4 linked regions of the Diceros bicornis minor genome follow. The protein of the gene in region 4 interacts with the protein of the main gene of each other region in a biochemical or structural test. Links are inferred from orthologs where the notes say so. Each region holds a gene or a part of one and is shown on either strand. Other genes may lie near its edges.

What was found. The genes of interacting proteins can lie anywhere in the genome.
Region 1: the proteins of SNTB1 (region 4) and ASNSD1 interact in a test that uses a peptide from one of them, tested with the Homo sapiens proteins (2 studies listed by IntAct, with this or other methods). The link is inferred for Diceros bicornis minor from reciprocal best matches to the Homo sapiens genes SNTB1 and ASNSD1.
Region 2: the proteins of SNTB1 (region 4) and TANC1 interact in a test that uses a peptide from one of them, tested with the Homo sapiens proteins (2 studies listed by IntAct, with this or other methods). The link is inferred for Diceros bicornis minor from reciprocal best matches to the Homo sapiens genes SNTB1 and TANC1.
Region 3: the proteins of SNTB1 (region 4) and SLC16A7 interact in a test that uses a peptide from one of them, tested with the Homo sapiens proteins (2 studies listed by IntAct, with this or other methods). The link is inferred for Diceros bicornis minor from reciprocal best matches to the Homo sapiens genes SNTB1 and SLC16A7.

The regions. Positions count from the first base shown.
Region 1 is NC_080749.1:68,668,134-68,675,500, reverse strand, and holds the start of ASNSD1 (asparagine synthetase domain-containing protein 1), read right to left. Parts: upstream 3,002-7,367; coding exon 1,541-3,001; intron 978-1,540; coding exon 796-977; intron 1-795. Other genes in the region: ASDURF (ASNSD1 upstream open reading frame protein), read right to left, coding at 3,023-3,093, 3,711-3,786, 5,034-5,087, 6,621-6,710.
Region 2 is NC_080749.1:41,661,460-41,669,202, reverse strand, and holds the start of TANC1 (protein TANC1), read right to left. Parts: upstream 3,002-7,743; 5' UTR 2,873-3,001; intron 2,194-2,872; exon of another isoform or gene 1,724-2,193; intron 1,686-1,723; exon of another isoform or gene 1,660-1,685; intron 1-1,659. UniProt on the Homo sapiens protein: May be a scaffold component in the postsynaptic density.
Region 3 is NC_080756.1:9,737,105-9,745,071, reverse strand, and holds the start of SLC16A7 (monocarboxylate transporter 2), read left to right. Parts: upstream 1-4,966; 5' UTR 4,967-5,105; intron 5,106-7,967. UniProt on the Homo sapiens protein: Proton-coupled monocarboxylate symporter. Catalyzes the rapid transport across the plasma membrane of monocarboxylates such as L-lactate, pyruvate and ketone bodies, acetoacetate, beta-hydroxybutyrate and acetate.
Region 4 is NC_080760.1:36,701,962-36,709,543, forward strand, and holds the start of SNTB1 (beta-1-syntrophin), read right to left. Parts: upstream 3,001-7,582; 5' UTR 2,968-3,000; intron 2,794-2,967; 5' UTR 2,569-2,793; coding exon 2,001-2,568; intron 1-2,000. UniProt on the Homo sapiens protein: Adapter protein that binds to and probably organizes the subcellular localization of a variety of membrane proteins. May link various receptors to the actin cytoskeleton and the dystrophin glycoprotein complex.

The sequences.
Region 1 (7,367 bases), on a different chromosome or scaffold from region 4:
CAGAAGCAGAGACGAGCAGCAGTGACGTCTCAGAGCAGGTATAGCCTTGTAATAAGCTACCACTTACTAAATTCACCTACTTGAACAAATTTCTGCTTTTCATAACTAAATGACACATCTTCCTTTACCCTTAATGCTTTAAAAAGTTGTATTCAGGCACTTGTCTACTACCATCAGAAATATGTTGTAGGTAAAAATAAACCTCTGAGATTAAAAAAGAATACATGTAATGAAAATGCCTTGATCTCTTTGAAGGTTAGGTAATCTGTACATATGACTAAACTGTGTTCAAAAAACACTGAACGGAGGGGAAGCCAGTACTGGAACCACCATTTACGTCAGTATGGACCTATATAGACAGAAATGTCTCTAGAGACAAAACCAGGTTTGTAACACTGGAGGAGAAAGCTTGGGAGTAGGGCCTATGCCCACATTGGGAGAAAAGCAAACATTTCAAACAAAACAAAACCCTTTAAATACCCTCTCTCAGTATTTCACCTCCTCAGTTTTATAGTCTTTTTCATGTAGTCTGAAAAGCAATCATGTCATCGTGTCATCTTTGGAAATGACTGGCAAGACAGTTTTTGGAGAGCGAATTCTAGAAAACTGTTCCTCCACCTCCTCCCCAGCTTTGCTTCTGACTCTGCTGTTTGTAATAAAAAGCCAAGATGTTATTGTTGCCACTGTTACTCATTTGAACAGTCTCCAAAAAAAAAGGAACCTAAAAATCTCCTTTCAGAGTCTATTGTTTTCACAGAATTACCCAGCAACACTCAGATAGATACTTAGAATTACCTTGCCTCTTTTCCATGATCACCAATAACTCTGTCATCACGACCAAGATTTCTAGAAGAAATTCGACCCAGTTCCATCTCGATTTCCTTATTCAATCCTTCCAGCCCATGTGCCTGAAAGCGAACGCGATGACGAGAATAACCTGCAAGTTGCTCATCTGCACCAATTCCAGTAAGAACTACCTGTAAGGTTCAAAGAAATCCATATAAAAAAACATTCTCTATTACACAGTAAGGACAATAACTAAGATAAAAGCAAAGCTTAAAAAATCATAATCTCAGGGCTGGCCTAGTGGAACAGCGGTTAAGGGCGTGCGCTCTGCTTTGGGGGCCCGGGGTTCGCAGGTTCGGATACCGGGTGTGCACGGATGCACCGCTTGTCAAGCCATGCTGTGGCGGCGTCCCATATAAAGTAGAGGAAGATGGGCACGAATGTTAGCCCAGGGCTGATCTTCCTCAGCAAAAAGAGGAGGATTGGCATTGGATGTTAGCTCAGGGCTGACCTTCCTCACCAAAAAAAAAAAAAAAAAAAAAAAAAATCATAATCTCAAAGATAATATTTTCAGAGAAAAACTACAAGGCAAAGTCATAAAATAGTAAAATATGCCCAATTTTTAAAGTCATATATATTGTTATAGTTTAAATGCAACTAAAATATGCTATATTCTTATAACTTAAATGCTAAAAGCTTTAAAGGTTAAAATTAGGTCTCAGAAATTCTTCCAAGCAGAAATACTGTGCCATACCTTTGCATTGCTCTGATATGATTTCACTTCATCCTGGGTCACTAACCAACCAACTCCTCTAGAAGCGAACCAGACTGCACAGCCAATACTATCATCCAACACCGTATCCAAGGGCTGAACTAAGTGGCATATTTGAGTTGTTCTGAGTTTTTGCAGTTCTTCCAGAGAAACGTTAATTTCAACAAAATTCCAAATCCGGGAAGGGTTAGCAGCTTGCAGTTCCTTTAGTCCCGCTCTTCCTGTGATTCGATCCGGTACACTGAATTGTCTATCAGGACTATCAGCAGCAGCAGCAACACTTTTAGAGGATTCTTCAGAAGGTACTTCACAGTGATTTTTCTTCTTTCCACTTTTCTTGTTAAAACTATTTAGTGTGGGCTTTTCTTTAGTCATGAAAGCCACATTGAGAAGATCAATTGGTTCATCTAAAGGAATATGACGGTCAGCAAGGGTTGCAATAACCATGGAATCAATACCCCCAGAAAACAGGATGGCCACATTTGCTTTTCTATCACAAGTTTTTGAAACCTCACTTGGTGTCAGGTTTCCATCTCTAGGTAAACACAACACACGTCTCTTGACTGCCATACTCAGGACATTAATGAACTGCTGAACTACTTCCTTCGTGTGTCCATCGGTAAGAAAGACCTGAAGTGTCTCTCTTGTAGGTGGGATGCTGGAAATGTTACTGCAATGAATCTCAAACGGAGCTTGTGGCAACATCATGTTTAAAGGAACGACAGGTTCTTTAAGATAGAGTTTGGCTTCATTTGCTACCACTGACACGAATGTTGGCAAGTTTGCTGCAATTTGAGTCAGGCTATCAACACATTCTTTGGTAACATTCTCTCTAGAAAAATATTTCCAAGGATACACTTTTAAAACCACAGATTTGGAAATGGCAGTAGACTTGAGATCAATTCTGAAAATTCCAGATGCTGGAACTTCTTGCCACTGATTGGCCACTCCAGATGTTTGGGCACCAACTGAAGAGAGGCAGAAATTCTTGCCCAAATTACTAAAATGCCAAAGCAAGCTACGGCGACCAAAAAAATCCCTACCAAACCATAAACAATGACTAGATGCTTGATAATATATAAAAGACCAAGGACCTTGGACTTCTGAGAAGAGTGACAAAATATCAGATTCATTCTTACAAGAGGTAAGATAATCAAACATTATTTGAGTATCGTTTTCCTCAGCTTCAACCTTTATTCCACTAAACACTTCTCCATTCCACAGCAACACGTTGCCTCTTTCATCTTCCACAGGCTGGGCAGTCAACACACCTCTTAAGTGAAGGACATGACCAGAAAATAAACACTGGTAGTTAATATTAGACTTTAACAACTGTTTACTACTATCGGGTCCCCGTCGTTTAAGATTATACAGCAAATCCTCTTTCCAATCTTGGCTGAAATGCTCAACAGAAAAGCATACAGAACAACAAATGCCACACATTGTTCTGTGAAAACAAGTTGACTATTTCTTGATTTTGGTCTTCTCTGAGTTTTCTATTTCTTGGTATTCTTTTTTCAGCTCATCTAATATATCTGTGAGGGGAGGGGAGAAGAAATATTAAGTAAAATAAAAATTCTTGGACCTTTACCAAGTAATTCATAGGGCACCATAGGCTATTTACCAAGACCAAACCATTTGAGCATATGCACTGTGTTAGAGTAAATAATAATTTACAACAGGCTTCTAACGATGGATGTTTATCTTTTAGGAAAATAGTCTCCGTTTATTAAATGCTTCTGTTGGCCCTGGCGCAGGGCTATGCACTTTATATATACCATCTTATTTAAATGCCACAAGACTCTGGAAGCTCAAAGTAATTCACTCAAAGTCACAAAGGTAGAAAGTGGTAGAACAGTTTTTCATAACTAGATCTGTCTAAAACTCTAAAGCACATGTTAATTATTGCTTTCTAATGCATCTTATGTATTTTTAATTGATTTTTACTGTAGACTCATCTTTGGAAGGCTAATTTGAAGAAAACCAAATCACCGCATTAATTTTATTAACAGGTATACCACCGTCCAATCTTTAGCTATACAGTTAAACATTCAGATATAGATAGTATAATTCATGCACTACCATAAATTTCTACAGAAAGCCTACAAAAGACTTTCTGTGTGTTTCCAAATAACATCCCAAAGAAACTTACTTTTGCTTTCAGAAAGCATTTCTGTTCGGTCTGCAAGAAAGAATATGTTGCTGTTCTGTTGCTGCCTATATACTTTCTGCAAAACATAATTTAGGCTAATATCATGATTTGATCTAAAAAGTAGATGTCAAATCTCTGAACCCTATTATTGCTTATTCTTGAACTTTAGTAACATATACCTTAGCAAATACAAATAAACAAAAGTCACCCATTATCCTACCATCTAGAAACTGCTACCATTCACACTGAGGTGACACTTTTTCTCTGCATATACCACAATACCATTTCTCTTTAACAAAAAAGGCTACTGTAACTACAGACTTATAATTTGCTTTTATCCTGAACAATATATTGAGAACACTTTTTCTCAGTAGTAAGTGTTCTTTTACATTACTATATGAGTATAACATACTACAGTTTATTTGGTCGTCCTCAAGTTTTAGACATTTAAGTTGTCACCAACTTTTCACTATTATAAATCAATGTTGTGATGAACGTCTTTGTAACTAAATCTTTGTGCACTCCCATGATTCTTTCCTAAGTATTAATTCCTATAAATGGAACTGCTGGGTCAAAGTGTTACACAGTTTTAAGCTTCAATAAAGCAGTCTGCCAACTTGCCCTCTAGAAAGTTTGTATTAATTGTGCCTTAACTTCTAATATTCCACAAGTGACAGTATGAGAAATGTCTAACCTGTCAGTTATCAAATTATCTTTAAAATGCTGTAAAGGGCTCAAAATAATTTCTTCCTGAACTTTAAAATGTAATTTTTGATAGTATAACTACACATGAAGTAGTAGCTTGCTTGTTATGAATACATTAATGGAAATAGCATTAAATAACCATGTTAAATATTTGGAAGATCTGTGTAAAAATTTTTGGCAGGGAGGGGAAGCATTTATCTTTTTTGTTTTTCCAACAATTATCCACATTCACTTAGAAATAGTCTCCACTCTTCTCAACATAAAATTCACTTATTTCAAAAGAAAATACCACATTCAAGTATAAAATAAATAACATTACTGATTATAGCTCCAAGATACCACAGTACAATTTGTATCATTTGGTTCAAAGGTAATGTGAATTGCACATGATGGGGAAAAGATATCATCAACTATGATTAATCTATAGATATCTATATATGATATATATATAAAATCTTGGATGCTTTTCACTGTTGCAATTTAACTAAAAAGATGCTGAAATCTTGTAAATTTTAATATAAATATAAGTCATATATGATTCTTTTAACTTTTGTATATAGTTAATAAGATACAATCAAACCCTCCCACATACTATTCAGAATTACTCCAATAACTCACCCTGTTCTTCTTCAGGTTAGAAAGTTCATCCACAACAATTTTTTGTTCTTTAATCTATTGAAATAAAGAAAAACATCTTAAATCAGAGGTTCTCAAAGTATGCTCAATGAGGGTGCTTTAAAATTAGAGAGATGGGATAGGGGCCATAACGGGCAGTCTGTGACTATGCGGACTCTTGTCAACAGCAGTCTGGGGCGAGGAGGGGGAGACAGAGTTGGAGGAGGAAACAATGAGTAGACTTGCCAAGTGTTAGCCCATTGAGCCCAGCCAGGGAGTTTGGTGTTGGTAACCAGCATCCAGGCAAGGGCGGTAGTTACTAAACAAGGTTTATACCTTTTAGTTACACAATATGCACACAAAGTAATACCAGTTTTTCAATGATTTATGTTTTAGCTTTAAAAAAAGAAAAAAACCCAGCAAATGGAATGAGGGGTGAGTTACTCGCCCCCCCAATACCAATGGTTTTCATGATTTATGTATAAATGGTGCAGCCAGACATTCAGAACAAGCAAGTGGTACTAAATGCCCTACCTGGGGCAGTAAGACCTATCACTTTCCATCTTTGCTTTATTCCTCTTTATATCTCAAAGACTAACACAATGCTGGCACTGTTGAACTAGGCCTCGAAATAGGAGAGGGCTCCACTAAGTGGAAACAAAGTTTTTTTTCTAACTCTTTTCAGTAAAGGTAGTTATTCTGTGAACATGACTGATTACATAGTATCACTATTGCCTCTAAAAGCAGGTTTTATAAAATCTTTGTCCTACCTCAGGAACCTCAGGCATCTGTCATACATCAGTATAAGTGGCTTGCTCTGGTAGTAATCAGAGTGGGCTGTATGAGGTTTGAAAATTCACCCTTGGGGGGGGTTATTAGAGACTTGCCCAAGATGTCACTGTTAGTTTGGGACAGAACCAAAGTAGAATCTAGGACATCTAACACCTGAAAAGCTATAACCATCCCCATCTCCTATATATTTTTTAAAGGTTTTGTCTGTTTATGGCAGTTAAGATATATATTATATTGTCCCCACCTCCTGCCCCCTTTTTGGATGGAGGAGTGACAATCAAATCCGTGTTTTAGGATCATTGCTCTGGCTGATGTGGAGAAGAGAATGGAAGGTAATGATGGACGAAGCGAGACCAGTTAGGAAGCCTTTGCAGGGTAGATGAAGGTGGCTGGTGATAAACGGACATATTTGAAATGAGCTTCAGAAGCAGAACTGACAGGACTTCGCGATGGACGTCAAGGATGGTTCCCGGGTTACTGGCACGGACAACTGGATGGTTGGCGGTGACTTTTCTGAGATAGAGAACATCGGCGGCAGATCTGGGGTGGGCAGTATTTCTAAAAGTTTAAATAAAGAGAAAAAACCCCAACCAAATCTCCGCCTCACTGCCTCCTGGGTCTAATTTCGGTGCAAACTTCAGGGTCTGCCTTAATTGTAGCTGTCGAACGCTAAGAATAACAAGAGAGAAGCAGCTGGGCAAAGCCGAGAGCGGGCCACGCGGCCGCGGCAGACCTCCCCCGGGGCTGAGCGGCGCTCCGTCCCGAGCCTGCGGGCCGCTCGCCTCGTCCCACACTCACCTTGTTGCTAAGATCCTCTTTGTGAGGGGCTGAGTCGTCGGTAGGGACCAGCCCGGCGCCGTCCTCCGGGCGTGTGCCCCGGCTAGGCATCTCCACCGAGGGAACGGTACGCGGGACGCGCAGCGCAGCTGGCGCCCCAGGTGCCTCCCCAGGTGCCTCCAGCCTCCAGCCTCCAGCCCTCAGCCCCCAGCCTCCGCGCGTGCGCGCTCCCAGCGGCTCCACCCCCTCGTTTCCTTCCCTATGAGTCCTACCAATAGCTTCTGCGCACTCACTGGAACGCCTGCGCAGTCCGGGTTTGGCGTGGGAGCAGTTCCGCGCGTGCGCACAGATGCTTAGGGAGCGCGTGAGCAGAGCCTGGTTGTGAAATCGGAGAGGTTCCTGAACTGTCCGCTAGCGGATCGGCTGTGGAAACGGCCTTGTGGTCTCCACTCCCTCGCGTTCTGTAGACTGTGAGTTATATGCGCCCCCCAGTGGTCAATATAAAGAATAGAAGCGCAGTAGAACTAGACAATATTTATTATCTAGGCAAGGATGTGAAGCTAGGCACAGATTTAAGAGACACGTTTTTGGCAACAGAACTGTACAGACTTGGTGAAGTTTTTGTTAACTTGTTATTGGAGTTAAAAGATAAATACAGAATGCCCGGTTAAATATGAATTTCAGATAAATGAATGATTTTTTAGTATAAGTATGTCCCTTGCAATATTTTCAGAATCTCGCTCCAATGAGAAAAATTATCCAAGACTT
Region 2 (7,743 bases), on a different chromosome or scaffold from region 4:
AAAACCAAGGCCCAGAAAGCCTTAAAAGCCTTGTACAGAAACACATTCGTACTTATGGGAGGTTGGGGGGAGGTTCTAGTTTTCCCATCACTGAAATATGCGTTTAAAAGTTAGTTCAAAACAAAGCTATCCTAGGGACTAAAACAAATCCCTCCCTAGCAATATACATACATATCTACCTACCTATCTACCTACCCATCTCCTTTGTTTTTGTAAACTTTACTCCTGTAACTTACAACTTAACCTAAACTTTTCATCAGAAATATAAAAATAAAGCCATTTCTCTGACTGAGACAGCCTACTTTCAACCCAACCCAGACAAAACCTTTACAATGGGGTTAGAAATGTCTAATGGAAACTTCAACATAACATCAACCTCCAGCTATGCTGGCAGGCATCATTATAATATGGATTACAGTTCTACCAACCCAGGGATACTGGTTTTAATGTTCCCTGGGAGATAAAGAATTAATCGGCAACTCGGAGGGAGATGTTGCCTAAAAATGGATAATTTAATTGAGACAATTTCATTGTCCTTAAAATTGTGCCCTCAATCACCCAGTATCAAAAACCCACTATGGCACCAAATAAATTGCGTGTGGTTAAAGAGACAAAATGTTCTTTTCCCTACAGGCTGTTATGGGAAGCAGAAAAAGGCTGACTGAATCAGTTACGTTTTAGTTTCACAACGGACATAAATTATGATAATCTGGACATTCTGGTGGTTAAACCAAGAAAGCAGGAAAACCACTGCCTCCAAGTCCCAGCAAAAGTTAAGTCTGTGGCATCACAGCTGAAAGAAAGGGTCATGAAAACTGACCTTAAATTTATTTCTGGACTTTCCTGCCTCCAGTAAAATCGATGACACTATTTCCCATCCCTTATTGTCAAATCACAACAGTCCGGAAGGCTGGACCGAGTTCACTTGGCAGGTAACAGGAGCAACCCTAGGAGGAAGTCCTGAAGGATGTTAGATACCATATTTCCTTTACTCCGGCATACTTTTCATCTTCATACCGCCAGGATATATTTACGATGAGTTCTGACTGACACCCACCAAGCATTCTGGCTGACACAAACTTTGCAGAAACTGCCATACTCTAAGGGAAGGTCCCTTGAGATCTTTAAGTAGCTTAGATGAGTACAACATTCAGACTACCACTATAATGAACATCTCTCAGTCGCTCATAAATTCTTTCATTCTCAGCAATCAAGAAGCAGCTGTTAAAATCCAGGAATCTTCCTAGCAGCAGATCTGAAAGACCTCCAAGCTGGCCAGAGACGCTCCACAACGGCTTTCTTCTCCTTCCCCTCTCCCATCCCAGGAGTGCCAGCCTGGCAGGAATCAAGATGACCCAGGAAGGAAAAAAAAAGAGAGAGAGAGTAGCGGATCCGGTGAAGGCAGAAATGCAGACTCCCTTCACTTCCACTACAGAGAAATACCAACTGTCTGCACCACCACACCAGGTTTCTCCTTTCCTCTCCCATCCCCACACCCTCCAAACACATTAACTTCTGCAGTCTGGTGGTCTGGCAGTTCCAGAGTTAGCGACCTCAGCAGTCCTAAGCCCTTTCCTCAAGGATTCTGAACCAGGCACTTCCTTTCCGTGCCAGAGTTCGAGGCCCATCCCGCGTTGAGTAGACTCAACTTCCCTTTACCTTGTAACCCGCCCACACGGCGCTGCTTCGAGGGTCAAGTTCAAGATGAAGCTGCCCTCCTAACCTCCTCGAGTTGACTCCAGCAGGAAACAGCGCTACCGAGACGAGTCCCATCCCACGAGGCACCGGGATCTGAGGCTGCTAAGAGTGGGCTGGAGGCGTTTGTGAGAGGAAGACTGTCGCCCAGCTCGGCGTCCTCCGAACCCCTGGATGCGGCGCCGTATTTCTACCTGGCCTCTGCCGCATTTCCTCCCGGAGCTTTACACAATAAGTCAAATAAGTTTTGAGAACGCCGGTCCAGAGACGTTTCTGTGCGCAAACATGCCACACAATGCCTAGGGCTTCCTTCCGCGCCAGCCGTTCCGGAAAGCTGCCGGGCCAAAGCCAGGAGCCTCACACGCCCCCAGCGCTGCGTGTCCGCACCCCAAAATCTTCCATGAAGAACGTGCGCCCTGACATAAGTCCCCCAAAAGTGACCCCCTCCACTCTCCAAGAACAAGGGGATTCATAGTCTTGATACAATTCTTGTCTTTCTCAGCTCCCCCTCAATGTCTAATCCTAGCTCACCCCCCCCCAAAAGAACGTGGATAAGCTAATCGCAGTGTGCTTGGAAGCGAAGCAACAGACTTTCAGCCCAGAATGGGGCAATACGGCACCCCTCCCTCCGGCTTAATTTCACTCGGCAACTTCGCGACCCGCGCTCCCCTTCACTCCGGGGGCGCCCCGGTCCCCCGGTACCAGGCGCGCCTCTCCCCCGCCTCCCCCGCTCCAGGTGCCAGGCGCAGCCCAGGCCCTTGCTAAGCCAGAGAGCTACAGAGAAAGCGGGAAAAGGGGCGAGGAGGTGCGCCGGGCAGAGGCTATCCCGAAACTCGAGCGTGCCGCTGCGCGTTCCCGGTGTCCCCGAACCCCAGCTCCGCCGGAGACCCGCTCGGTCCGTAGCGAAGGGGACGGCGAAGGGAAGGCGCTGATTCTCCAGAGCCGCCGGGACCAAGGCCCAGGGCGCCCAACATGTCCGTGCCTATCCCCGGAAAGCTCCCGGGTGTGCCCAGCGAAGGCGGGGAGGGAGGCTCCAGAAACTTTCCCACATGCCTTTCCACTCTCCCCATCACCCTCTCCTCCTCCCTGGGACCCTCTCCTCCCCTCTGCACCGCTGCAGCTGGCCCTGCCCGGGACGCACGGAGGCTCGCGGCTGCGCCAGGGCGGCGGGAGTTACCTGCCGGGAAAGTTTCCAGCTCCTCGGCGCGGTTCCCCACCCCCAGGGCCGGGCCTCCGGGCACGGCCAGCTCGGCGCTCTGCGGCTGCCTCTCCTCCGGCTCCCGAGGCGGCCGCTGCTCCGGCAGCTGCCACAGCGAAAGCTGCGCTCCGGCCCGTCCCCCCGCCTCGCACGGCCCACACCCGGGCCTCATTGGCAGCGCGAATCCCCGCCCTTGCGCGTGTTCCCGAAGGCACCTTCCTCTCGCGCGCCCGACCGGGCCGCCCCTCCCCGCCCCGGGCTGCGTCGGCTCTCGGGACCCGCTGGGGCGCGGCGCGCGAACTTTCCGCGGGGCGCGGGCGCAGCGCCTCCCCGCCCCACATCTCTGGGCCGGCTCCCCGGCTTCCCTCAAGGGGGCTAGTCTCCCGAGGCTGCGCCTGGCCCCCTCCGGGACTGGGTCATGATAGGTGATAGTCTTTTTTTCAATCTCCTTAAAAATCAGTGAAGTGACCCGGCCTGCCCTCCTTGCTGCGTTTTGAAAACAGCCGAGGAGGACATATGGGAGCAATTAACCAAGCTGAAGTTTTGGTGGATGCTTTAGGGTGACTTGTGTGGCTTTCTCGAATTCTCTCTGCCTCACTTAGCTACATACACACACACACAAACACACTCACTTTCTAGGGCAAGAATGAGCTAAGAGAGATGAAAGTTGTACGGGACATCTCGCCTCCTGTTAATTTTCTTTCCCGAAAGCGAATTAGGGACGTTCCGGGACCGGTGATTGCCCGGGCGTCCCCGGGGCCCGGTGTCTGCAGCCTCCTCCGACCGCTCTGGGCTGGCCCTGTGTTGTCTGTGCTCCATCCACGGAGGGCCAACGTCTTGCTTCTATTGGCAGGAGGAGGGAGGTATGGGGCGGGAGGGGGACACAAAGATGCTATTATTGTTTCGGTTGGTAGCAGTAAATTAAATTCCCGAGTTCCCAAAATGTTTTGTTGTTCCCCAGCAGAGCGAAAGCCGAGATAGGGCCTACAGATTCAAGAGTCCTGGGTATGCCAGCACCCGCCAGGAATCCCAGGCAGCCAATTCAGGCTGGGAGGCTCAGCCACTCCACACCAGAAGCCCTTTAGACCAGCCTTGGTCACAGAAGGATCAACTCGGACTGCTGCCTTGTGCGGCCTGCGAGAATTGTGCCGGGGTCACCCCAATGGTGTGTCTGGAGCAGAGAATACAGAAGTTGCTATAAACGGATTTATTGGCAACCCCTAACCTTGCTGTGGCTAACCCGCCTCTAAAGACAACTGTTTTAAACAAGTTCTCCCATAAAAACTTCAACCTCATGCAGAGTTTCCCAATACTATAAAGATACCCAGAGAGAAGTGTGTCCATATTTAAAGTTCTTATGAAAAGAGACAGGAAGCAAAATGCCACACAATCTCTCTACATAAATAAAAGATGACTGAAATTTGCTGGATTTTTCACCCATAGTTTCAAAGGTCTGATTATTACTGTGCTGATATTTGAGCAATAAACATATCAACAGCCTTGAAATCTTTCTGAAACAAAGCAGGATATGAATATTTAAAATGAAACATAAAGTTATTAAACCAGCAAAGCTATTGACTTCTCTCTTCACTTTGAAATATCTCATTGCTGAAAAATATGGTAATATGTTTTATTTAATTTCTTTTGAAATGAAATACATGCAAGTTACCAGTCTTTCAACAACAGATGAAAAAGACAGCAACCTTAATGATGAAAAAGATGACACAAACAAAAGAAAAAACCCCCACAGTAGTCTGACTAATCTGAAATATTAAGATATAAAAGAAATAATCCTAGGGAAATAGACTGGTACACTTCCCTGCCTCAGACTTCTTTATAAGGGTGAAATGTGTAATGGATGAAATTTACAATTTATATCACCTTCTTCTGTCTGGCTATATTCTCCAAGTTTTTGATGAAATTGCTGAGTTAAACTGGGCTTTGAAGACAATGAAATTAATTTTTTTCCATCCATCCTCAAAGCTCCCTAAGTAGCAAATAGAAAATCACCTAAACTAAATATGGTAATTACCAGCATCATCTTTAAATTATTTTTAGTTGAAAAATTTGTGTCTTTGTAGTTTCAGAAGTCACAGTCACTAAAGTAGCTTCATCACTGCCTAGTTAGGAGTGTTTAACATTCTAAACAGGCACATGGCTAGCAATCTGAAATTTGTACACAGAATGGCCGTCTCCCCTTCTTCCTGTACTCTTTGTATACTCCAAACTACATATGTTATTATGCACAATCTGATCTACAGCTTTAAACAGCTAACATTACATACAGTATGTCATACTAAGACCATCAAAGCTGTCTTAAGCTGTAAGTGAAAATGGTACATTTTATAGAAGACAAGGCCAAAAACACAGTAATAAAAATTCATGGGTGAGGGAAAAAAAAGAGGATCCATTAAGACCTTCTGTCAGAAGAAAATTTAAACATTTTCTAAGCTAAATATGTAAAGTATTCGCTGAGCATAGGTTCAGAAAATGCATTTTAATGCTTTTAAAAAATCTGCTTTTCTAGACAAACAAAAATGTACAACCCAAAATTTCACAATGTTAGAAACCATTAAAACATCAATAAAAAAAAAATCTGCTTTTCCCTTAAAAAAATAAAAAAATATTTTCAGTTAGTTGTCAGGTGATGATTTGTACTTTTAGAGGGAGGGGAGAGCAAGAATCATTCTTGCTTTTCTTAGGGTATTTCTGCTTATCCCATCCAGTTTAAAAAGCTCACTCATTACATTTCTGTTGATTCCAGCTGAAAAAAAAAAAGAAATATAGATCACATGAATATCATATATTAAACATGTTCACCAAACATACATACCAGATACTGGCTTCCATTTTTAAATTTTCTATCAGTTTGCCAGCGATGGAGATTTTTCTCAGCAGAGTAAAAGAAAACAGCAAATAATAAACTGGTTATTTTACCATACAATTTACTCCCCAGGGCAATAAGCTGAGGAAGGTGTGAGGAAAGAATGTGCCTTGTGAGTGTTAGTATGCTTTTTTCCCTTGCTCAGATTCTTAAGTACTTCTATTTTAAATCAAGTCTAAGTTAGGATCATAGCCAGTGTTTATTATGGTATGTGTAGTATGGAATACAGAGTGAGAACTGAAATGTTTAAAACAGTGTAGTAATTAAATACAAAAACTGAGACAGGACTAAAAAAAAGTAAGGCAAGGTAGGAAACCCAGACTCAAAATAATTTAGCCCACCAACGCTTTTTGCCTACTTGGGAGTATCTTTGGATGTTTACAGAATTCATTCTCCTTTGGTCTGTTCATTCTTGCTTTCCTTTTTAACATTTTAGGGAGAAAAAGAATTTTTAAAGACATGGGAATAATGAAATAAGTTGGGTCATAGTTGGAAATCAGTTGGGAAAAGCAATGAAATGACATACCCCTCCATAGTTCCTGCATGTGTAACAATCCGTGGTCACACACGTGTGCCAACACCATGGTCAGATGTGAGCTAATGGCAGACACTCGTCCCGGGATATTGAAAGCCATAGTTGTGCACAGTTAGCCAGTCAGTTAAATTAAGTCATCTAATGGGACATATAAACCCCTCTGCAGGTCTAGCACGTGGCCTGCCAACATTGTAGAAACTCATCCAATAGGCCGTAGGCAGTTAATTATTTAAACTGATAAGGAATCCACTGAGGGAAGAAAGTAGGGAGATAGATTCAGGGGTTCACATTTCTTTATAAGAATATAGAAGTAACTAAAATCCTGGGAGAATCTGGTTTAAGATGGCATGCCATCTGACTAACATTATATATATAGATTTAGTCCAATCTTCTGATGGTGAAATGGTCTATAGGGGGAAATAGAAATTTCCCAAGTTCAGGAAGGGTGAAGTAAGGCAATCAGGTGGTAATCCCTCCAATAAATGTTGTTGAATCTGGTTAAGATGGCTTAAAAAGAAATGTGCTGTTAACTTTGAGTATAACAAAGGTATTTTAATATCTTCCACCTTGGGAGTGGTGCTTTCCCCCTTCTCAGCAAGTTGTATAAAAAGGCCCTGACATTGCAGTCATAATATCTAGACTTCAGTTCTGGCTTGGGCAGCTATTGTTTGTGATTCCTGGCAATTCATTTAGCCTTTGTGAGCCTCGGGTTCCTCATCGATGAAATAAGGAGGATAGCGTAGAATCTGTGCCTCACAGACTTGTCGGCAAGATTGAATAAAATAGGGTGAAAAGCACTTAATAAATTAGAAAATGCTCTACAAAAGCTAACTTTTATTTAACAGAGAATAAGCTATGTTTTTCCCTCCCAATTACCTGGGACCACTGTAGTTGGAAAAACAACCTAAAGGCTTGATCAGAGCAGTCCAGCATGTCCCCATTTGCCAAATGGGTAAGGAAGAGTACCTTAAAGATGATTTAGTGGTAGATAATAACTCCAATTAAGCTCTCCGAGGCTCATCTGGGGGTAAATTGGTAGTTCTTGTCTTAAACAGTAGCAGTCAGGAGCCATTTGCAGAGTTATGTTTTCCTCCTGTGTTAGTGTTAAAGCAGGAAAATTGTAGTATATATACAAGTGTACCTCATTTTATGCAAATCAACACATGGAAATTCTTAAATACATAATATATCAATATATTGATTTAAAGGAAATGTTTCCTTTAAATTTAAAAAGATTCTTGCTGAGATTCTTTGCGAGTGCCACTACAATCTGACTTACATTCTTAATTACTAACCATTCTTTCAATTCAGTGAATTAGTGCTGATAAACACTAATGAGATTATGAGCTTGAACCCACATAAATATTTTCTGTAAGACCAAGCACTAGTCAGAACTCCTTTGCAGTTGCATATTTATCTGAAGAAAAATAA
Region 3 (7,967 bases), on a different chromosome or scaffold from region 4:
GAAATTCTGGTGGACCAAGGGCAAAAAACACAAAATCAATAAATCTTAGGTGATCACCTACATTGCTCGCCCAAAGCACAGGGCTAAAGAGCAGAGGCACAGTCCATCCAAAGGCATGGATTTGAAACTTCCATCAGATTTCACGTAACAGATCTCATATAGATATTGCTTGGGAAAAAATTTATAAGAAGTGATAATTCAAGGTCACAATCAACAAAATCCCAGAAGAATTAACTAACATTAAGAAACCATTATATAGCAAAACAGCATATAACAAATATGCAGTTTGGGTCAACTCGTGGCAGATGGAAAGCAGAAAAAGAGCTCATGAATGGAAAACAAAAGGTCAATATGGCCTTAACTTTAGCCAAAGAAACAAAGTAAGAACAGCTGAAAACCTAGCTTCCTGAAAGGAGGTAGTCGAGAGTATTTTAGCCTGAAAGTCTCTTGTGACCGATGACGCATTATGTAAATGCAAACAATGACTAACCCTTCAAGGACATTGCAGGCACGTGGCAAGGTATACAAAGTTACAAGTTAAGCAGGTAACTTTATGGTTGCATTTTATAAAGCATCCTGATCAACACTGCTGTCCAAAATATGATAAGTAAACATTTATTTTTGGTTAATTAGGGGAAAAAACTCCACCATATATAAATATTTTCTTCCTTTGTTAAGATTATGCATAATCTCTGTGGATATTTGTACCCTTGAAGTGCTTGCAAGTACCATCAAGTTTTAGAAAGTTAAGCGACCCACCTTAGATCAAATGTATAGGAAAACACACTGAAACCTAGGTTCCTTGGCCATATTCAGTCATCACTGATTCATTTAATAAAATTCATTAAATATTAAATACTTATAAGCCACTATTTACAAGATTCCTGCCACAAAAATTTACAGTTGATTATGAAAACTTTTAATCCCATTTTCTAATTTGATATGTTTTCAGAAAAATTAGAAAATTCAGATGAAGGCATCTATAAGACACTTATAATTAGAATCCATTAAGCTTACTTTATGGATAACATTAAATAAAATGTAAAATTAGAAAAATACCAGTGGACAGGAGTTTAAATGCAGAAATCCATTGAGAGATTTTTGGAGCCCCAAAAGTCATTTATTTTGACATAAGAACTCTCTGGGCTATTGTATAGTTATTGAAAGGCTCACCATACAGCAACGTCCAACATGGTTTTCCTTTTTTATTCTTTGTAAAATGAGACTAGGTTTGCATTCTCCACAATGCTACAGGAGGCTTCCATAGCAGACATTTCCAAAGTAGCCTATATGGATGTACTCAAGATGTAAATCTACAAGCAGTGGAAAGATGCCTTTCATATTTTGTACTTTCTATTAAACCAGGTCAGAGCAATCATATTCACAGCTGCCAGCCAGCTTCAATCTCAGTCACAGTATGCTGCCACTGGATGGCAGGTGCACGTCTGTTTTCACTCAGCCTGAGGAGAATATTGGGACATTTGATCTTTTGTCCTTAGTTAAAACCAATCTATTGTGTGTAGTTTACACACACAACACACACAGCCCTACTTTAATTTCACAGTCTTGCCATGAAAAGTCTGTTATATATCAATTTTGGATTGTAAGAATATATATTTTAGCCTTGACTTAAGAACACATTATAGCATTCTCATAAGCTCAATGTTTCATTGGGTCTTTATGCCATTATGATTTATACTCTTATTAAATAACATCTTGTATTGGTCAGAATAAGCTAGGCTATGTTCTCACGACAAATAAAGCCGAAATCTCAATGGCTCAACACAATAATGGTTTCTTGCTCACACAAAGGCCAGCGCACGTGAAGCAGACTTTCTGTATCTTTTAGCGACTCCATTTTATAGCTACTCTGTCTGAAACATGAGGCTATTAGAGCAGGGAAAGGCGAGAAGGAAAGAGGCACACTGACTCTTAACTCGCTTTGCCCAGAAAGGACATATGTCACTTTCATTCATACTCTAGTAATTAGAACTAGTCATACGGCCCCAATATAACTGTAAGAGAAGCCAGGAAACATAGCGTCATGCAGATCATGGATCTTGTGAGCACCAACAGCCTCTACTACATATCCGTTGCCTAAAGTCATGCAATCATCTCTTTCCTCCATTTGGCAAACGTTATTGATTATCTTATATCTGCAAGAATTTGTGCTGGATGCTGGAAGATTACAGAGATGAATAAAATGACATCTCTACCCTCCAACACCCTAAAAGGTAGGGAGACAGAAAAAAAATAACATAGCCATACTGTGAAGCAGAAAGAAAATGCCCCCAATAGAGGCATACACCATGGTCTATGGGAAAGACCACAGAAGGAGATGGAATTAATTCTTACTGAAGGAATTTTTGAAATGCTACAGAGGTGATGATACATTTGCTGGGCCTAAAAGGAAAAAAGGTTTAGATAAGTTTGATATGGAAAAGAGGATGAGGAATGAGAAAAGACAGAAAAATATGAGAAGATATGGCATGGTGGAGGAATGGAGGTCCAGAGAACCCGGAATATGAGGCTGTGGGTGTAAAGTTTGGGCTTTATTTGTTTGTATGTTATTGATGTGTTCAGTTGTTTACTCATTTGCGGAATGTGAGTTGCTAGAATATTGAGTATATTGCTATTCTTTGTTTCTCCCATTGTTATTTCACCTTATGAATAGAAACCTAGGCAAAATTTTACCCAAAGCATTTCAAGTTCTAATCATACAGTTTCCTTTTTCCCTAAATTGTATTTCTGAACAATATTAAGACTATAAGTTATAGGAAAAATTGACTGGACTTATTCCCATCTAATTCTCCTTTCAGATTTCTTTCTAATCTAACCAAATATTTATATGGTATGCCTGGCCATAGCAACAAGGCAATTTAGAAATGAATCCCCAAATACTAACACTGGGGCAGTAGGTAAATTGGATTCAGAGTTTTACTGTTGGAAAAACAAGATTTAAAAAGAAAACTTGCCATGGTTATGACATAATGCTATGGGTAGTAATGTTGAGGAGTATGGCAATGGGTTAAATAGGCCTTGAACATGAGGCTGTAAAAAATACAGGACAAAAAAGAACAATCAAAGAGAAGCAAAAGGGAGAATAGGGTCAAAATTCAGGAAATACATGGTCTTTCTTCTTCCTTCTCTTCTTTGAAAGGAAGTAAAAGTGATGAATGAGCAGGAAAACTATCAATAGCAAACACTTAAGAACATGACCTTGAAATGTGTGTCTTAATATTGTTTCTTTTTAAAATTCAACATTCTTTTTGTAATGTAAATGCAGTGTTTATAGTCACTGCTAGATATTCCATCATTATCAAATGCCTATTATATCTTATTCAAATGTCAATTTACACATTTTTAGCTTTAAAAAAGTCTAAAGTCCTTTCTAGAATGTTCTGCCTTTGTTTCTTAGTTTTCAAACTACCCCTCTCTGTAAAATTGTCTTCCAAACTTTTTCAAGTCACTAATAATAGTCACTGTTTATTCATCTCATATTATCTACCATCCACCTCACTATATCATCTCACCTAAATGTTATGACAGCAGTAAAAAGTTCATATTATTTTGAGTTTGTGGCTGCAGAAACTAAAATTTAAGTTTTGTCCAAGGTTACAGATTATTTAGCCAAGTGATTAACTTGTCCATTTCCAAATTCGTAAATCGTGAATAATTTAATAGAGTCATTGTATTAATTGAGATAATCCATATTAAGTACTTAGAACAGTGCCTGACAATGATAAACATTTAATAAATAAGTATAATTATTATTATTACTATTATTACCATGATTCTTTGTCCCTTGGACATCAAAACTCCAGTTATTTCAACTAAATTATCTTGGCTTCTTGTAAATGATTTAAGTTGTAGAATAAACATGAAAAGCTTTTAGGAAGTTATATTATTATATAGGATTAACATCACATTTTACCTTTTTCACTTTTTTAGGAGCAGAAATTGGGGGGGGGGATTCAGTTAAAATGACAAAAAACCTGCAATATCAATTCTCAAATCCAAGCCCAGGATTATTCTTCTGGACTGTTTCTTTTTCTCTAAGTAGTAATTAAACTTCAAGACATCAAAGGAACTTAGCCTAAAAATTCATTCTCAGGCCTTCCTCTTTCCAACTTCCCCAAGAAACATGTTCTGGACAGAGAAGAAAAAAAATAAAGGTAGAAGAAACCAAATCAATGACTGTAGAACTACCATTATCCCTAGCACTGCTCATTGTGAAATAACTAAACCCCATTTTGAAGAAGTAAATAATTTGAGAAACTAAAAATGAAAGGAATCATTTACAAATGACTTTCATTTCTTTCCTATTTTCAAGGTCTTCTTGTGCTATTTTCTATACTCCCCCTCTCACGATGTAAATTTTATTTTTCCCTTAGAATGATTTGGTTGGTGAATCCCATCTCCAACACTGCCATCCCCCCTCTCCCTGGCCCCTCAAAACCGCCTCAATTGAGAAATGGCCCGACACGTTCCCTCCAAGCTCACAATGAGAATCTGCTGATCTCCCTGCACTCTGCCGGGCCCCTCTCCTTTCGCCTGCTTCCCTCTCCCAGAGGTCGCAGACCTCCCTGGGGTGTCTAAACAGAGCTGCTGCACACCTGGCTCCCGGGTTAAGCGCCAAAGCGCTTCGGATGCGGCGTGTCGCGACCGCTCTCTCCCCCCGACTTTCGGCTTTCCGTCTTGCTCAAAACTAAAACCCGAAGTGGAGTGCCCCGAGCCACAGAGCCAGTGTCTCCAGCGTTGACAGTCGCTCGGAGCATGCTCAGTCCGCCCGGAGTCCCTGGGCGGCGGCTGTCCCCCGCGCCCCCGCCCCCGCGGGCGCCGGGCTCCCGCAAAGCCGCGGCCGCCGCCCCCGCCCCCGCCCCGCCCCGCTCGAGCCCCCCCCCGGCGCCCGGGCACCCACAAGGGCGCTCGCCAGCCGCGCCTCCCCGCCCCGCCGCCGCCTCCTCCTCCGGTTGCGGCGGGCGAGGACACGTCAGGGGACATAAATAAATAAATAATTCCATTCACCCGGTGACGGCGCGGCGCACCGGCTGCAGCCAGTTGGGAACGGAGACCCGCAGCGCCCGCCCCGTGCCGGGGACCAGGTAAAGTCGGTCTCCCCGGGGGCGCGGGAGGCGCCGGCGGAGGGCCCGGCGAGCGCGCGTCTGCCACCCGAGCCGCCCCACGCGCGTGTAACAACACGGGCCAGCCTGGGGCCGGCGCGCCAGCGAGCCCTTATATAGACAAAAACCCCCGAGCTGCCGCCGCAGCAGAGCGCGCGTCACCGGCGCGCGGACAGCGGCGGCGGGGGGCCCCCGAGGGTCCCGGCGGGGAGCGCCCCGCGCCGCCACGTGCGTTCGGCAAGGAGGTGCCCGCGCTCTGGGCTTCTGCAGCAACACTCTGCGCGCGGGGCTCCCGCCTCTCCCTGGCGCACGAGTGCGCTGCTCGCCAGCATCCCGCCCCGGGCCCGCGAGCACCCAGGGGTGGCCTCGTTGCCGCAGGAGGTGGGGACGGGGCGTGGTGGTGAGAGCGTGTGTAGGGAGCATCTTCTCTTTTAGCAGATGGTCGGGGCGCGGAGAGACGGGGAGGAAAGGAAGACATACTACGGGGGTCGTCTTCGTTTTTTTTCAGTCCCTAGGTAGCATGGCGGGGACGGAGACAGATGGAAAGATGTGTGCGGGCGAGGCCTGCGCCCGGGCAGAGGGGAGCGTGAGTGGACAGGGGCCGAGGAGGGCCTGCGCCTCCCGGGTTCATTCTGGGCTCCCGCGCTGGGGCCGCCCGGTCAGGTAGCGCGGCAGGCTGGCGAGGCGGCTCACGTGCGCTCGGCCCCCGCTCAGCGGATGCTGCTCTGTGGCTGCTCTCTCCACTCTCTTTTCTCCCTGACTTCCGCGAAAGGGCTTGCTGACTGCCTTGGCAAGGGCGGTCGTGACCAAGGCCATTTTCCTGGTAGGGCTGGCAAGGGAAATTTGTGGTCTACTCCAGGGATATTAAAATTACACACGCACACCCCAGAGGAGAGGAAATGAGGAGCGGTTTCTCGGCAAGTGACTCCGCCTCCCCTTACTGGAGAAGTAGTACTGAGTGGGCTGAGTTAAGTGAAGGAGGGCTGGTGGTAGTAGAAAAAGCTAGTATTTCGTGTCCTCCTCCCTCCCGGGGTCCAATAAGAGGCGCAGCAGAGTCATAAAATCGTGGGCAGTCATGGGGGTGATGTGAAAAAGACCGTCCGGGAGGACAGTGGGCCCCAGATGCTCTTTCCTGGCACCCTATGCTTTATGGCTCAACGCAGACTGGGAGCTCAACAGGGCTGCAGACTTGCAGCAGACACATTCGCTTGAATGTGCTGTGTCGGTGGAACCCAAGTACTAAATGTGCATTTGGGAGAGTGTGGCTGAAAAAGAAGAGCTGGGTGGTGGCTGCAGAGAGTGGATAAAGGTTGAACAGGGTGACCCTGATTTAGCCCCGGTGAAGCAATCCTAACCCCACTTTCTGCTTCTGAGCACACTGCATTTCAAACAATCTAAGTGAGTGGAGACCCAATGATCTCAGTCAAAGGGAAAGATGATTACGTTAAGCAACTCACTGTGTTATGTAACAACTCATCAAGTCAGAAACTTTTTTGCAAAAATCACATCAACAGTTTGCAATTACCTACTGCTTTTTCCCCCAGGGGGTGTTTTAATAATGGCAAGTGATCTGAAATTTTAACATCCGTTTCCAGATGTCCAAGTTAGTACATCTTCTGATAAATGCTCAGTTTATTCCTAGACATGCGTTTACTCTTTTATAATATCTGACTTATATTTTTGGTCTTGAGCTCTCCTTCCCTTCAGGAGGGCAAAGTGAGCTAACGAGGTATCTGTAACGCAGAGTCATATTCCTGGATTTCGGATCTGAAATAAAAGAAAGTCTGTCTTTGCTTTTACTTCTATATTCATTCACCAGACATTTTTTGAGACATTCAAATGGAAAAAGGTAATTAATGTTAGAGTTAGACCTAGATTTCAAGATCACTTCTGCACTTTTGTTGAGTAATTAGGTTAAAGTAAAAAGGTTGAGTAATTAACAATCTCATATTCAGTTTTTCTTATCCATGAAAAGGGATTGGTGGTATCTACCCTGAAGTGCTATCATGAGAATAAAGTATATGGAAAGCACCTAAAATATAGACTAGCTATTTTTGAACTCTTAAAATCATTCCAGCCATTGCTCTGTGGTTACCAAGATGAATGAGGTTGGAATTCTGCTCTCAAAAAATTCACATCTAGTCATCCAGGTTAATCTTCTTTTCCTACTTGCTTTCAGTCAGTTTCTCAATGGAAGAGACATATGTCACAAATAACTAGAAGGGGATGTAGCAGTTATAAGAATGTTCGCAAGATCTGTTAAAAGGCAAATTTGAGAAGAGTACCTTGTCTCAGAAACCTGTGCATTCAGCCTGGTTCTTTTGCCCATGGAGGATTTTCTTCCTGCCATGAGGGGAGGACACCCTTTCCCTGAAGATCATCTTTGCCAATAAATTGATTTCCATTTTTTGAGAGAATAAACTGTGCTGCCGTTTCTTCTACACTTTGGACAGACTATAATCCACTCACTCCAAGAAGACCAAGAGTGCAGTAACTGTAACCACATCTCTATAATGCTCACGGCGCTCCAGGCCCTGTGCTGCAACTTTCTGTGTATTAACTCCTTTTATTCCCCTAACAACCCTGTGAGGTAGGTCTGTCGATATCTGTCGATATCCACATTTGCAGAAGAGGGATTTACTCACAGAGAATTAAGTAATTTGCCCAGATTGCACAACTGGAGAGTGGCTGAGCTGGGGCAGGCAGACACTCAGGCCGACTTTCTGGCTTTAACCACTCGGTAGTACAGCTTTTGCCTGGCATGAAGCTGGATGAGGGCAGGGGCTTTGTCTTGTTCCCTGTTCCCAGTGCAGTGCCCGAGATGTGATAGTTCTGAACAACTGA
Region 4 (7,582 bases):
AGAATATGAGACACTCTTTTGAATGGGGCCGATGCTTGCTTCTCTTAATAGCAGTGGATTTCTGAAAACTCAGGATGGGGATAAGGTAAGCCCAGGTGCTTCATGTCTAGGAGGCCCACAGGTCTTTCCCAGATGTCCTGCTTACAACACATGACAACGTGTTGTGAGAATGACATGTTAGACGTTTACAAAACTCACTTTTCAGTTGCTGCATCAATACTCACATAACTGCTTGATTTTATTTTTCTTTAAGTTTATTTTCAACTGCAGGGAGTCATCTTTTCTTCCTCTTTTTTGGGTGAGAGATATTTTTCACCTCTTTGCTAAGTCATTATTCATCAAATTGAAACCAAGGAGAAGAAGGGAAAAAAGGCACATAATGAAGGGCAGTGCCTGAAATAAAAATGACCTGCCTTTCATCCCCCTGATATTTTACAGTAAATATTGAAGCTGTGCAGGTGCCCAGTAGTTTATAGTCCAAACTACACTTGCTCCAGATCCCACCTGCCCCTTGTCACACAATCCAACACACACTTGAGTCAAAAAAACTTTTTTATGTTTACTTATATTAATCATAAGCCAAAGCAAATAGCTTGCCACTTTCTGGATCCAGGGTAGCAATTAAATATGAAGACATCGCAAATCCTCTAGACCAATAAGGGGGAGAAAATCCTCTGTATTCTAGGCCAGGAGGTGGGCCATCATGTACCAGACAGTTGCATCAGCTGTCATATGTAACAAAGCTGGTTTCCCAACTTTGAATTTTCTCAGTTTCACAGCCAGCACAACTGTTGAGCAGGAAATTGATTTAAGTCCTTAATTTAGGGACCTAAATCAACCACCAGTTTACAAGGGTCTCTGTCGAAACATTGTTTCAATGGCTATGGGTTCATTTATTCATTCACTCAGCATGCATGTCACTGAGCACCTAAGCTCAATGGAGAGGACCCATAAGCAAATAAAAGACCCCAGAACTCAGTCTACAGTTAGAGGGAAGATGAAATAATTACATGATATTAGTGCTGACAGAGTTTTGTACAAAGTGAGCTAAGGGGCAGAGAGACAGATATCAAGAGAGAAATACAGCTGCAGTGGAAAGAAGGCATTACCCACAACTTCCCCACTGACCTTCTCCGGAAATAACCACACATAACCACGAGAGGGTACAAACGATGCTACCTATTCTACTCACACGCAGTAATTAGGGGATTGGGGACATCAGATCTCAAGAGAGTAGTTTCTAAGATGCCTCACACACAGGGAAACTGTTTACAAATGCAAAGTTGTTTCCACACCACTCGGGAAGAATCCCCGGAAAACTCTGGCAGAGAAATCACTTCACCAGCCCTCCACCCAGCGCAACCTGGAATCCAGACTGACGGGCCTAAAACCTGGCAGCAGAAGTGAACGTCTGCATAAACTTCCCAGCCCGTGGCACAACTCCCCAGCCATCACCCCAGCTTCCAATCTGAAAGGAGGGAAGTCTTGAAGGGTGGTCGGAGCTTTAGCCTTCAAACACTGCCAGCGCTCTCCGGCCCCTTTATGTTTCAACCCTTTTAGTTGAGTTGCCCGGGCTTCTTTGGAGAAAATTATGCCAAAGCAGAAAACTATCCGAGTTGCGGTTACTCAGTGTGCTCGCTTCGTAACGTGGACGTCTACTCTTCATTTTCAGTTCCACTTCCCAGCCCCTACACGACACTTGGATTATCCGCGGATAAAAATGAGACAACGTGCACTAAGCATGCAAACCGTGCTTGGCACATAGGAGCTCAAGAATCCCTGCTCGCCTAGCCTTTTCATACACCCTACTGGATCAAAGCCAGTAACGACTCTAAGTGGGGACAAGTTGCCCCCAGGTGGGTAAAAGTTGTCAAAACTCCAGGCCGCCCCCACTCCCGGCCCCCTGGGGTGTGAGGCACGTGGGTGAGTGTGAGAGTGCGGCGGGAGGGCGAGAGGGTGTGTGCGCGCCCGGCGCGGCCCGCGCGGCATTAACCCCTTACCTTCCAGCAGCACTTCCTTGCCAGCGCGCTTCAGCGCCTGCACCGCCTCGTCGTGGGTGGCGTCCCGCAGGTCGGCTCCGTTCACCGACAGGATGGCGTCGCCCACGTACAGGGCTTGGGTCTGATCGGCCGCCAGCCCCTTGAAGATCTTGCTGATAAGGATGGGCATCTTGTTCTCCTTGCCCCCCTTGATGCTGATGCCCAGCCCGCCCAGCTCCTGCTTCAGCACCTTCACGCCACGCTTCTGGTTTGAGATGGACTCGGGCACCTGCTCCGGGAGGTCGGTGAAGGCGGTGCGGACCCCGGCGGGCGAGTCCGGGGGCTGCGCGCCGCCCGCGCCCGGGTGCCCGCTGCCGGCGCCCTTGCAGAACGAGCCATTGGTGGCGGTCCCGATGCCGTTGTACGCCGCAGCGCCCTCCTCGCAGCTCAAAACCAGGGCGTCCTCGCTCAAGTTCACCAGAACTTTGTGCCAGCGATCCCGCACCAAAACTTCCAGCAGCCCGCTCCGCTGCGCGCGGCCGCCTCCCCCGCCGACCGGCCCTGCCGCCGCCGCCGCCGCTACCGCCATCTTTCCGGCATTCTTAAAATGCCATGTGATTGCAAAAGGGGGGAAAAGTGGGGAAGGGTTGCGCGGGGAGGACGCGGGCCCTGGGGGAGCGAGGAGCGCGCGCCCCGCGGGCAGGAGGCAGGACGTGGGACTCCACTCCGGGAGTTCGCAGACGCGCTCGGCGCGAGTTGGCAGCCGCAGCCAAGCCGGTTCCCCCTCGCCTGATCCTGGGCGGGGTGGAGCAACCTAAAAGAAGAAGGAGAGACAGAAACAGGGGACGGGGAAAAAAAAAAAAGCCAGCTGCCAGTTGCAAAACCCCAAACCAAGGGGAGCCGCGGAAGAGCTAAGCGCCGGGGAGAGTCGGTAGGAGGAGGCACGTCGCGGGGAAGGGCGGGGACCCGCCACCCGGCGGCCGCTCACCTGTTCCAGCCGCCGCAGCCTCGGCTGTCACACGCCGCACGCCGCCCCAGACCCACCCCGCCTCCCTCCTCCGAGCGCACGGCGCTGCAGGGACAGCTTCCCAGCGCCTTCTCTCCACCCCGCCCCAGCCCTCTCGTCTCGACTCTCCCTTTTCCGCGGGCGCCCGCACCTCACCTTTGCCTGGTCTGTGTGTCCTGCCTTGATCCCCTCACTCGATGCTCCTGATCCCCCATCCCTTTCATACCCTCCACTGAATTGTCCCTCAGTCCTAACCCCCAACTGTATCTAGATCCAGGTCTCCTCACTACCAAGGCTTGGCTTCTCCCGCTGAGTTCTTACCTGTCTCTCCTTTCCGCGAGGACTCTCAGGTAGACGCAGACGGAGGCCCTGGGTTCTCTGAGAGTCAAGAGGGAAGGCTGTCCCAAGAACCCAGAATGAAACGTCAGCATAACCCGAGTGCCCGAAACTTCCTGTCTTCAAATGCAAGACATCTTTCTGCGGGGTCTCTGGAGAGGTGTCTCTGCTGGCCGGGGTATTCAGCAGCTCACTGCCTGGCCCACACCCCAGGGACAAATGTTCTTCCAGCTCCAACACATTATGTGCTCTATGCTTCTGACCTTTTTTCCCCAATGCCACACCAAATGCTTCCTGGGACTTTCTCTTTCTTCCCAAGATCTGATATAGGAAGTCCACTATTTAAGAACTCAGTTACATGGATTGTATCTCAAAAGTTCCTTTACAAGTTATGTATCGGGAGTTCAAGCTGCATTTTTCCAGGGCAACAATATTATAATCGTTGGTTACCTTCCCAGGCCAATCCGGAAATGCCAACCTAACCCATGTCATAGCTGAACCTCCCACGGTCCACCTGGTCCTTGAACCTCTCAATTTCTCCCCCCACCCTGAGCAGGTCTCATGGACCTCTCTAAGTGTTTCAGCCTTCTCATTTACCTCCCCTTTCCATCTCTCTCTTTCTTCTCTCCAAAAACAAAACAAAACAAAACTCACAAATCTTCGAATTCTTAGAGGTAAACCCAATCCAGCAAGGTGTCAGGAAGAAGGAAATCTTATTTGAACACATTCCCACTGATGTGTATCATCTCTGAGAGATCTCTAACCCTTCCAGAATGACTCACACTTTTAACTGAGAATGCTTAAAATGCAGACAAATCCCTAAAGGGTGGTTGGTGTTCCAGGTAGGGTCACAGAATAAAATGAAAATATTTGGACTTTTTTTTTTTTTGTCAAGGAAAAGTCACTGCTGGCAGGTCAGCAGGAACTCTTGGATTAATGCTTCTGCTTGTATCATCCTCCTTTCCTATATTTTTAACCCACTAGTTTTCCAAAAGCTCTTTGTTCTTTCACATAAAGTTACCCACGGCAGGGACAGCAGCCGCTGTGTGCAGGACTGGACAGGGAGCTGATACAGGTGGCACCACTGTGGGGTGGGAAAACCAGCTGGGACTGCCCTCTGCTTTAAGGACTGAGGACTCGGGCATATGGCTCATCAGGAAAATCAGAGCCTGAGTGTCTGCATTCTAACCCAAGCACACTAAGGTAGAGATAAGCACCAGAAAACCAGTGTGTTGATTTGGAAATCAAAACAGATCTGCCCCTGGGCCAAAATCCTCCATTCACATCATGCCTGCATCTTGCTTCTGTGGTCAAGCAATGTGGGAGGCCCAGGCATAACTGGAAGTAATTTATCGATTGGCCATGAGATATTGCAGGCTCTGGGATGCGGATTTCTCAGAATCTCTGTGATAAGCACATTTTTTCTGTGTAAGCAAACCTACACAAGAAGGAGTAGGTTGCTTGTTGAAAATGACATCAGAAGGAGGAGAAACAAATATTTAACATCATTAGGCCCGAGGCATGCATGCTAGCCAGAGATGACTTTGCCAATGAAATTATAATAAAGCCCCTATTCTAAGTGCTATACATATATTAACTTAATTCCTCCAGCAATTCTTGGGGATACTTACTGTTATCATCAGTCCCATCTCACAGGTGAAAAAATAGAGATACAGGTTTAATAACTTGCCCTGGTCATGTAGCTAGTGAATGGAAGAGTCGAGATTTGACGCCAGTTTTGAAGAGTTTGGACTTTTAACTATTGTCCTACACTCTCCTGAACATACTCAGAACCTATAAGCTAAAGTGTTCATCTTACACCGAGGCCAGCCTTTCCACTGGGAGGGAAGCCCAGAGAGTGAAGACCCTTCCCCTAGACGGCACTAGAAGTGTAGAGCCAGCCCTTGCCTCTGGCCTCTCCTTCTTTCCAAGGTTAGAGAACACTCTGCTCTCCCCTAATGGACACAATTTTTTTCTTTAGACACATTAATATGTTTAAACAGGTGACTGTTGTGGTCTTGCTGGCCTAGAGACCCTGTCTTATCCCTCAGAGAACTCCGCATATCTGACCTCTGATTGGTAACGCTGACTCTCAGAGGTAAACCTTACTTACCTCCTTTCTTAGTTCTTGGTGGGAATTGGGACTACTGCACTATAGCCCCTTAACACTTACAATAGGACAGATCATATTTTCCTAGGGCTCTCCTTTTAAAGAATGGTCACTGGAAAGGACCAAAAAGACTTGCAGCTTCCTCATTTTATAAGTGTGGCATTTCAAACCCAGAGTAGAGCAATGACGAACCCAAGGCCACATAGTGAGTTTGTGGCAAAGTTCTCAACTGGGTCATGGTGACTACCAGTCCAATTTCAGTATTCTAGCCTTTCCACCTGAAGGGGCCCTTACTTTTTTTTTTTTTTTTTTTAACCACATTTCTTTTGCTTAGCTCTGTCTCTGGTTCTGTTTCCTCCTTCTGTCCTACACTTTTGACTTCCGTTTCCTACTCAGCCAAAACTGGGATCCTCCTGTGTGTGCCCCTTTCCTGTGGGAGGTGCATTTCCCTACAGAGGTTTGGGTGGACTTAAAACTACAAGAGCCGATCACACAGTTCTCAGCTCCACAGAGCTGAGGATACGTGAGTGAGCCGCCACATGCGACAGAAGGGGCAGTGTCCATCCATTCATTCCACAGCTTTGTTGTGCACCTACCGTGTCTCAGGCACTGTTCTAGGTGCTGGGGTATGGGAGCGGACAAACTGGCAAAAATGTGCTCTGTGATGCTTCCATTGTAATGGATGGTAGGTTGAGGTGGAGAAAAACTGTGAACATAAGATACTTTGTGGAGAAGTAAGTACTAGGAAGAAAATAAAACAGAGTCATAGGGTCAAGAGTAACTAGGGGCAAGGGACATCTGGAGGTGGCAGCTGTTAAGGAAAGCCTCTGTGAGAAGGTAAATTTTGGGCTGAGACATGGATGATAAGAAGATGAGAGTCTTGCAAAGATCTAGGGAAGAGGGTTCCAGGAAGAAGGAAGAGCCAGTGCAAAGCACTTAAGAGAGGACCAAGCTTGTCTAGTTCAAGGGACCAAAAAGGGGTCGCCGTGGCTGGGGCAGCCCATGGGAGGCAGAGAGAGGTAGGAGGGGAGATCAGAGAGATAGGCTGGACCAAATCACAAGGCGCAGCCGTGGAGGATTACAACACAGACCATTCTCCTTGTCCTCTTTGAGCTTCAACAACCATACATTTTGGATTGTCAGGGGCAGTCTTGTTTCAATATTACTTCCTATTAGCTACTGAGTAAACTTCTACTGGTTAGAACACATGCTCCAATATTTAGATTTGGAAAATATGAGGATTGTATTTTTGGTACTGTTCCCTAAAGAGTAGGTTGAGCATCTTTAGGGGGATTAGTCCATATACAAGATGGAGAGTGGATACAAGGGCAATAGTGAAGAAGAGAAAAATGGAAAGCTCCTTGATATCTGGGGGAGAATGAGAGAACAGAAGAAGAGAGGAGCAAGAGGGGGGCTTGAAATGCAAAACTCCTAAGATGAGGCATACCTATGTGAATATGTATTGACTAAACGCTTATTGAGTAGCTACTCTTCTAAGTAACTGAGGCAGGTGCTGGGGGCAGGCCCATCCAAAGATGCAAAGGTAATTAAGACAGGAAGACAGATATGTACACAAAGAGCACATGGCGACAATGTGGCGGCTGCAATGCTGAGCGTGAAATGCGTGGAGGTAGCCAGCCTTTAATTGCAAATCATAATGTTGGGTTAGCGATTCTGATTTGAAAGATGAAGCCCTGAGACAGGAGGATGGCACAGGAACAGAGGCTGAGCAGCTGCTTCTCTGGGGTTTCCCACTTGGCTAACAGGTGCATCATCAATTTTAAGTGGGTTTGCAAACAACTTCTATTGCAAGTACGTGGCATTTGCCTGGGCGGATCCTTGGTAAAGTAGGTAGACTACCACCCAGACTATCAGCCATCCAGTCAGTCGGGTGAGAGTTCTTTGAGTGCTCACTGTGCTTAGAATGTTGTAGTGGGGAGCAGGACTAGCCCAAGGCAGAATTTAAAGTACTTAGATGTTTATCTTCCACCTTCTCTTATAGAGTTCCACTTCTTTTACTTCCCTTCCATAACTACTGTTGTTGAAACAAACCTTACACCAGTCTTTTAGTATCTATGATATAAATTTAAGTGACTTTTCCTAAGGGATTATGCATTTGATCCTTTTTTAAAACTGTACAGTGATAGGTTA